2 linked regions of the Drosophila melanogaster genome follow. The protein of the gene in region 1 interacts with the protein of each later gene in a pairwise test. Each region holds a gene or a part of one and is shown on either strand. Other genes may lie near its edges. The genes, in order: CG13245 and Surf4.

Region 1 (3,857 bases):
GAGTAGTCCTAATTTCCCCGAAAGATTTTCTATCGAATATCTCCTTCAGTTATAACCTATCCTCCCGAAGATGTGTTGCCAAGGAGCTTGTGGATCGGTATCCTATGCCCTGGCTTATGGCCCCGTCGGACCCGCTCTGCCAGCCATGAACTATAATAACTGCTGCTGTGGACCCAATCCTCCCTGTGGTCCCTGGACATGTCCTCCTAACAGGTGCTGTTGTGCCGGCGAATGGGGTTGCTTTGGGCCTTTTTACTGAGAAACCCAAGGTACGACAATTCCTGAAGAAAACGACGTGAAATTTTTTTGTGCTTTTGGTTTGAACCACATTTTCACTTACACAATGGTTCGAGCTTTTCAATAAATTAATGTACTTAAACAAGTAACTTCTTATTTACTATTTGTCAAATTTCTTGAGAAATTTCATATTCCATTGATACGTATATGAAAAATAAGAAAATATACCAAAATCCTAGATAGCACAATCTTACTAGGATTGAGTATCCTAAGTATACCATGAGGTATAATTCTTTCTCTAATGGTTCTTGAAATTGTATGGCTCAAATTTAATATTCCTTTAAAAAAAAATATACTAAAATTGTCGACAGTTTTACCAGGACCAGGATACCGATAGGAAAAATATGAAAATAATTAGGCGCGACAGCGTAGGTACAAGATCTCTAACTAAGGAACAAACTTACTTAGTCAGTATTAGTCCCTCAAATTTTTATTGGTTTCCCATGGAAATGGCTGGTACAAGAAGATCTACACTGATAATTTTAGTAGTATAAGACCGCATTTCCTCCTGGCGTTTATTCGTCTTCCTTTTTTTTCTGAGTACTCGCCAGTGTGCAGAGCTGCGCATCCAGTGGAGACAGGATGTGCGGAACATAGCAGTTGTTGGTGTTCTTCTTGCGGCTAGTATCTAGAACATAACACTTATCGCAAGGACCGCAGGGCGTGGGTATAAAGTCCCGACCGGTGAAACGCAGTGTTGACAAGGGAGGATTATTGCAGGCCAGGTCAAAGGAGGCACAAGCCCAGCCACCACACATGGTTAGGAAACGGATGTGGGAACTATATGGAAATGTGAATGATTAAAAATAAAATTTTTAAATAAAATTTTATAAAAGCATAAATGAAACTTACCCCGGTGAACGTTTAAGGTTGTTGTTCCGACAAGGACTGGACTGGGACTGAATGATATTTGTTTCATGGCTGACAGCCAACAGTTCCCAAGGCCTACTTCAAGATAGTTGAATTCCGGACTCTCCACCCAACTCTGTGGCTACTCCAGGTCAGAGATCACCTAGCACCCGCAGCAGCCACCGCAGCAACCGCCGTAAATGGAACAGTCATCACATGGACCGCAGGGCGTGGGTGCGAAACAGCGGCCAGAGAATCGCAGTGTCGACAGGCGGGGATTGCAGCAGGCGATATTGTAGGAGGCACAGGCCCAGCCACCACACATCTTGACTTGGTTTAGGTTTTCCGAAACGTGTGCTCTTTTTACTATTGTTTTTTTTTTTTTTGGGTGGGGTGTATAGTTATTGGCCCTGGAGCAGACACAAAATCGAGTGTTTGGTGCCGAAGTGGAAAAGGAACTGAAGTGGATTGGGTTTCCCAGGGAGCAAAGGCGATTTTTCGCTCTGACAGCTATTGACAATCTCATCGACGCCGCCCTCGGGTTAGACTACGCTTTGGATATCTGGCCTAAAATGAAAGCTGGCTAAATCGGAACGAGAGAGTGGATGGCACCCTGATGCTGAAGTGAACTACATTTTGGAAGCCCTTAGCCGGGATCTTCAATCATATATACCATATTATGGCATGTTGTGGGAATATATAAATTAAATTACTCTATTGGTGTTCTCTGTGACACAACCAATCAAGTAAGCGTTACAAAATAAAGTACGAGATTGCATACTGTTCAGAACAACTTCATAATTCTATTACTTCTACCACGAGTTTTAACTCGGACCGTTGGCGATGCAAATTTCTATCCGCCGAATAACGAACCGTGATGAAAGTTTTTGCCACTCCGGTCCATGATACTTCAATCCAACTCCTATTCATCCAGGCGGAGACAATCAATTACAATATCTCCCGACGGACCAGAGGCCATGTAAGAGGGTGTCTGCATGTGAGGATCTAGTAGACAAACCCACGCATGGTCAACTGTGCAAATGTAACTGAGAGGACATGGGTTCGACGAAGCGTGGTGGTTCTGGTTGGATATTCCTAGCGACCATACGTCGGTTTTAAATGGTACCGCAAGGCAGGATGTGTAATTGAGATGTAATTTTAATTGCAATGTTTTGGTGACAAAAATAGAGTGATGGAATAAAAGTACTTTTATAGACTTTTATAGGAAGAAAAATCGTTAAGTTACCATATAAATTGCAAATTATACATGGAATTACTTAGTCTCCAATATATGTTTATTCGATACGATTCTAATTTAAAATGTTTTCAACCGCATGTATCCTTGCCTTTGGTGTCACTTTTCCAGTAAATACTTGAGGAAACTGCAAGAGTTTTTATTCGACAGGAATTATAAAATTTTCCCAGTGGACTTGTGACTATTGGCGGACAAAAAAGGTGCTAAATAGGCGCCTGGAGCTGTGAGCTGACTGTCCATCACTGCCCCGGAGTATTTAGCATTTTTTTTAGCGGCAAGTACTTAGCAACAGGTTGCAAAGGGCTAAGTAATTTCTAGGATGAGTTGTGCTGCACCGCGATGCCGACCGCAGTTTGGATCCTGTGGGTCTGGTTGTAAGCCCTGCGGCGGAGGTGGCTGCTGTGGATCCTGCTGTGTTGGTGGTTCCTGTTGCAGGGGCGGTACAGGAGGATGCTGCGGCGGATCCTGCGGCGGATCATGTGGCGGTTCATGTGGTGGATCCAGTGGCGGATGCTGTGGCCCACCGCCCTGTGCCGTGGTCTCGTACCGCTTGACCTACGGCCCCGTGGGTCCCCTGCTGCCCTGCATGAAATGCACCTGCAACTGCGGATGTTGCAGCGGCGGTTGTGCGCCACCTTTCTATTTTGTGCCGAACAAATGCAAAAATTGCTGGGAATGGGGCTGCTTTGGCCCGCTGTACTAATACCCTGTAGTACCCTGTTGTTGCACTTTTTATTGGAACTTTTCATATTTTTGAATGCAATAAATTCACGTGTCAGCCAGACTTGCATATTTGCGCCCATTTTTGTTGCCTTTCTGACAGGCTAACAAATGACCGGGGTCCAGTTTCAGGGTTGCCAAAGTTTGCGCCATGAAAATCATTTAACATTCGAACTTTTGTTAGCTAGCCCGCAAAAAACGAATGAAATGGGCAGGCAAAAGTTTCCATTCGAGAGACTAGCAAAACAATGGAAAAATGGTCAAAATCTGAAAGCTGCTTGTTTTGGTTTTGCATACGAAGCGAATGCAGGGGAAAAACAAAATATTCGTTCGAAAACCTTCCAATCTATTTGGTTACACGACGTACTTATGTAGGTCATGGATCTGACAGTTTTTGTTCAGCTATTCGGTTGTATTTTTTAGCCACGCTTGAATAGCGAAGACAGGTCAATTGAACGAACTTTTTGACAACGGTTCCAGTCACCAAAATATTTTCGTTTAAAAACTGCCACAGTTGAAAACAAATTGACGCGCTCCTAGCCATAAATTTCTTTTTTAATTAAACCTCAATGTAATTTGGTTCACAAACCAATACATTAGTTTTGATAAGGAAGCTCAAAAACAAAAACGCAAATGGTCTGATAAAAATTTTCAATTAGCATGATATTTCTTAGTCTAGTTATTGGCTACAGACCACTTTTCAATGGGAATAAATAATTTTTTCCAATATATTTAC
Region 2 (4,967 bases), on another chromosome or scaffold:
GGTACGTGCACAAAGTAACGATCACAAAACTTGGGGTTCCGCCGAAGCAGGACCTCAGTCAGTATTGTGCCATAGTCGATCTTCTTGGTAATCAAAAGGCGCCGGCTCTCTCCACTCCCATAGCTAGCGGAACGCAAGCCAAATTGTCTGGCGATTCTGTAAAGGGAAATGCCAACATAATAAGCAATTATTTTTTACGATGTGGGATGACGGTGCTTACTGGTGAAGCGTGGTTCTTTCTTCCTTCGAAAACGTGGGCTCAAACTGCATGTCACGTATATCGTCCGATCTCACATAGTTTTCTATAAGCCGTCGGTAATCAGCGAAATTTCCCTTTGGATTTATTAATCCAAGACCATTACGATTGTTCTTTAGCAGATAACTGAAAATATAAAATAAAATAGTTTCGTTTGGTGATACGTTAAAAGTCGAACTCTTACCATACGGGCTCTTCACGTCCCTGCTTCAGTCGCCCTAAGCCACCGCCTGTCCAGCCCATCAGTCGCATCATGCGATATCCCTTGTTGCTGGGGTCCAATTTGGGATCGCACGGACTGTCGGCGGACTCATTGGTGACTTTGATGTTGACGCCGTCCTTGTTTTTTTCCACCTTGATGGTGTCGCGCGTGGCATTCAGCTGTGTAGCGTAGTACCGGGTTTAATAAGGCATACATTATTTCAGAAATTTCATACCTTAATACTATAGCAATAGGACTGGATCGTCAAATGCGCCTGCTTATAGGCAGCTTTCTTGGCCGCCTTAAGGCTCTCCCCCTGTCCTGTCGCTATTACCTCATCATTTACTAATAATTCGGCGTATTTTGTATTATCGCTTAATGGCTGATCTCGGCTGACACGCTCTTCGTACTTGACATTCGCAATGTTGCAGGAGTTTTGCAGGCAGGCTCGTCCCCCAGCCAAGTACACAATGAGCCGACCGAAACGCAGATCTTGATAGAGATCGACTGGATCTCCGCCGCCAAAACACTGGCGTTTTATGTGTGAGCTATCCTCTGGGGAGCTCGTCGAGGGAAGGGGTGGAGCCCGGCGCCCTAGTAGTTGGAATTAGGCATTAGGCTTTGGTCTCTCTGGCTCGTATAGTTACTAGTGATAAAAAGAATCTTCTCTCGCCTATGGGCCCACTAATTGTTCAGTCGTCTACCTTTGGCGCGCTGCTCCGCCGCATCCGACGCCGAGACAAATGTTCTCTTCAGGCGCTGTTCCCGTTTCTGACGGAAATCCGCTGCGATTTCCTTGGACAACTCGGCCACCAAAAGCATCGTCGCGCTTGGATACTTGCAGCCCATGAACTCCATGTTGACGAACGTTTGGGCCAGGCACACCAGCCGGTCCTCCTCAAAACGATCCTTGTGGGCCAGCATGAAGCTGCGTCGCAGATCCCAGTGCTCATCACTTTCGTATTCCGTCTTGTAGCTGTCTACATCCCAGTCCAAGGAAAATTCCCCGGATCCATAGCCGGCATCATCCTGTTTTTTAACTTTGACTTTCTTCTGCTTTGGCTTGGATTGTTGAACGGACATCTTTACAGGGAAAATAAATAGCGTTCAACTTGTCAAATAAAATGAGCACAGGCACGCTTGTTTTTTGATTGCTGCTTTCCCATTCACAGCGAATTATCAATTCGATTGGCCATGTGTTGCCCATTGGCTATCGATAACGCAGCGATAACGATAGGCCCCATCACGGCTATACTTTGTCGTGCGTGTGTGTTTTTAAGTTCCTGCCTTTTAATTCATGATTTTTTGGTAACTTAACAACAATTTGGAGAGCGACGCGACGCCCAAGAAGTCAGAAACGAATTGCCAAAGTGTCTCCACAGACGATTGCCCCAAAGTGAGAGATCGGATCAGCCCAAAGCAGCCAACATGAGCATACCCAACGAGTACATAGCGAAAACGGAGGATGTGGCGGAACAGGTAAGATATATTAGGTTCCACTGCCAAAAAGAAGTCCACCAGGACTCCATATCCACCGCAGGAAGCGTCTTCCCGATGCGCCCCAAATGGCGTTTGCGGGGAAGCCCTGGCAGCTGCAAACTGGGAAAACTGCCAACGTCACCCAAACGCGGCAAAGTTCGAGGGTCTTGGCTGCATATAATCACGATCCGCTGACATGGGGGCAACGTGCTGGGCATTTGCTTCCAATAAGAATCTGGGTGCAACCCAGATGATGGGTTTGCCTTGTACTCCAGTACCGCAATTGACAGTTGTTGCGTCTGCCGCAGGGAAAACTCTCTCTCTCGCTGCTTATTTTCTACCTGTGTGCTGATGCGTATGTGTCTGTGTGTGTGTGCGAGAGAGCTGTCTCCGCAAGTGAAAGTGTTGAAAAAGAAATAGCGGGCAGCTGGACGCCAGCGGCCAGGTCGAGTTCCGTAATAGTTGGGCTAGAAAGCCAGGTGAACTTGCTCGCGATTTACATACATACATGTATGAAGTTACATTGACAGCCGGGCCAAAACCCGTTAGCTGGCAGATAGCAATCGAGAGATACTAGCGTTTAGAGACACGTCACAGCCAGCGGGCGATTTCTAGCGACTACGCGCAAGCCACGCTCAACGGCATTGTATATTTAAATCCCTTATCACCTTGTCAGTAGTCCCCTTATCACCATATCAGCACCCATCCCAATTGCTCTCAACTCAACCAGAACCAATCGAACACTCATTTTTGCAGGTCATCAAGCGCGGCAAAAATGTGCTGCCCACAGTGGCCCGTTTGTGCCTCATCGCCACGTTCTTCGAGGACGGCCTGCGCATGTACATCCAATGGAACGAGCAGCGGGAGTACATGGACATGAGCTGGGGCTGCGGCAAGTTCCTGGCCACCGTCTTTGTGCTCGTCAACCTGTTGGGCCAACTGGGCGGCTGCGGCATGGTGATGGCCAGATTTAAGGTCGACATAGCGGTGGGACTGCTTTTCTTCATTGTGGTGTTGCAGGTGAGTCTGCATTTATATCAGCCAGAAGCAAAAGCCTTGACGTTAACCCGATCCTCTGTTTGCAGACCGTTGCCTACTCCATTCTGTGGGACTTCCAGTTCTTACTGCGAAACTTTGCACTCATCGGAGCCCTACTGCTCGTCCTGGCGGAAGCCAGGATAGAGGGGCGCAGCCTGTTTGCCGGCGTGCCATCGATGGGCGAAAACAAGCCCAAGAACTTCATGCAGCTGGCGGGCCGCATCCTGCTGGCCTTCATGTTCATCACTTTGATCCGCTTTGAGCTGAGCGTATGGCAAGTTATACAGGACATCATCGGCTCCATTCTGATGGTGCTGGTCGTGCTGGGATACAAGACGAAGCTGTCCGCCCTGATTCTGGTGGCTCTGCTTACGATCCTGAACCTGTACCACAATGCCTGGTGGACCATTCCGTCCTACAAGCCACTCAGGGATTTCTTGAAATACGACTTTTTCCAGGTTAGCAGGTTTACAATATCTTTCGCACGAATTTGTGTTATTTTTACGCATTCCCTTCGCAGACTCTCTCGGTGATCGGTGGCCTCCTCATGATCGTGTCCTTGGGCCCTGGCGGCGTTTCCATGGACGAGCACAAGAAGAAGTGGTAGAGGCCAGGCAACGGTCGCTCCTTGAACGAAACACTTTCAACATTTGACTTTTACCGTGTTTTACTCCTTCTGAGAAATGTTAGTTAGGAATTACCATAAAATGGGACAACAACAGGAGCAGCATCAGCAGCACAACACCGGCACGTATAAGAACTTGACAATTTTCAATAAAGGGACTTCCGCAATACCCCTCTCCAATGGCTCACTTATTGGGATCGCCCCAACCCAACTCCAAATCCATTCGCGCACATTCAACGACAAACTTCGACATTTTAAACATTTAGGACATTTTATTTTTGTACATAAAGAACAGGCAAGAAAAAAGTTTGGTCACTTTCGAGCCCACCCCAAATGAGAGACATAACTGATTTTATATCTATGCTTGTCAATATCCATGTTTTTTGCCGATTTTTTTATATGATTTGTACACTCTTATAAATAAGTTGTAACCTTGGTGTTTGCCTTTTGTTGATTGCTAGAAGTTTGAATATGAAAACGATGTATAAAATATGATGTACCAATTGACAATGATTTGTTTCTTTCGTTTATAAGCAAAAGTGTAATAGAATTAAATTGTAACGTTTTAATAAACATAAAGATGAAAAACCGAGACTTGTGCATTTTAAACTTGGCGCCAATTGGCCGATAAATGGTTAATGCTTTTGTTTGTTTACCAGCACTAAGGCACAGCTGACTCGCAACGTCAACAAAGAGGGAAATGCCCATTCTTCGACTACTGGGTACCCCGTACTAAGTTAGCTGCTAGTGAATCCTGCATAACTAACAATAAATAACTTTATTGCAAAAATAAGAGCATAAACCTTATACAAGTAGTACGATTAAATTTTGTAAATAGACACAAAATATAATGATAAAAAAAATGATTAGGCACCGTTTTGAATGGTAATGTTAGTGAATTAACTAAATATAAAACAATATATTGAAAAGCCCTGACCTCTCCAACAAGGCAGTGAAATGTCAACGGCCTCACTTTTTTTTAAAAACTTGAAATCAAATCTGAAAATAGGGATGAGTACATTTGATTAATTTCCAAAAATTGTTGCAATCAGTTCAAATCAATTGCAATACACAATGCACACAAGTAACTTATAGGGGCGGAAGTGTTTTCTGCAGCTGGCGACAAACACAGTTGCGTGTACAATATACCCGTGTATTGGGCAATTACCGGGTATAAAAATATCAAAGAGTCGCTGAGCCCCGAAGTGAGTATATGGCCAAACACAACGCATTTGTTGTTCAAAGCGTTCGGAACGTGGACGGATTGAGCTCCGCCGGGTAAGAGTTGGTCGTCGTAAATGTTATAGCTATGTGCCGCCGCTTCTAATCAAAATCTAATGAGTGTTTCGATGTGTGGGCGTGGTATA

What was found.
Region 2: the proteins of CG13245 (region 1) and Surf4 interact in a two-hybrid assay, tested with the Drosophila melanogaster proteins (one large-scale study listed by BioGRID).

Annotation. Positions count from the first base shown.
Region 1 is NT_033779.5:16,002,308-16,006,164, reverse strand, and holds CG13245 (uncharacterized protein), read right to left. Parts: upstream 1,841-3,857; 5' UTR 1,472-1,840; coding exon of another isoform or gene 1,310-1,471; 5' UTR 1,150-1,309; intron 1,078-1,149; 5' UTR 1,056-1,077; coding exon 813-1,055; 3' UTR 704-812; downstream 1-703. Other genes in the region: CG31820 (uncharacterized protein), read left to right, coding at 71-259; CG43816 (uncharacterized protein), read right to left, coding at 1,310-1,471; CG34167 (uncharacterized protein), read left to right, coding at 2,721-3,104.
Region 2 is NT_033777.3:15,342,879-15,347,845, reverse strand, and holds Surf4 (surfeit 4), read left to right. Parts: upstream 1-1,669; 5' UTR 1,670-1,886; coding exon 1,887-1,937; intron 1,938-2,693; coding exon 2,694-2,957; intron 2,958-3,022; coding exon 3,023-3,433; intron 3,434-3,495; coding exon 3,496-3,582; 3' UTR 3,583-4,193; downstream 4,194-4,967. Other genes in the region: CG31301 (uncharacterized protein), read right to left, coding at 1-156, 221-382, 441-637, 694-1,052, 1,163-1,541. UniProt on the Drosophila melanogaster protein: Endoplasmic reticulum cargo receptor that mediates the export of lipoproteins by recruiting cargos into COPII vesicles to facilitate their secretion.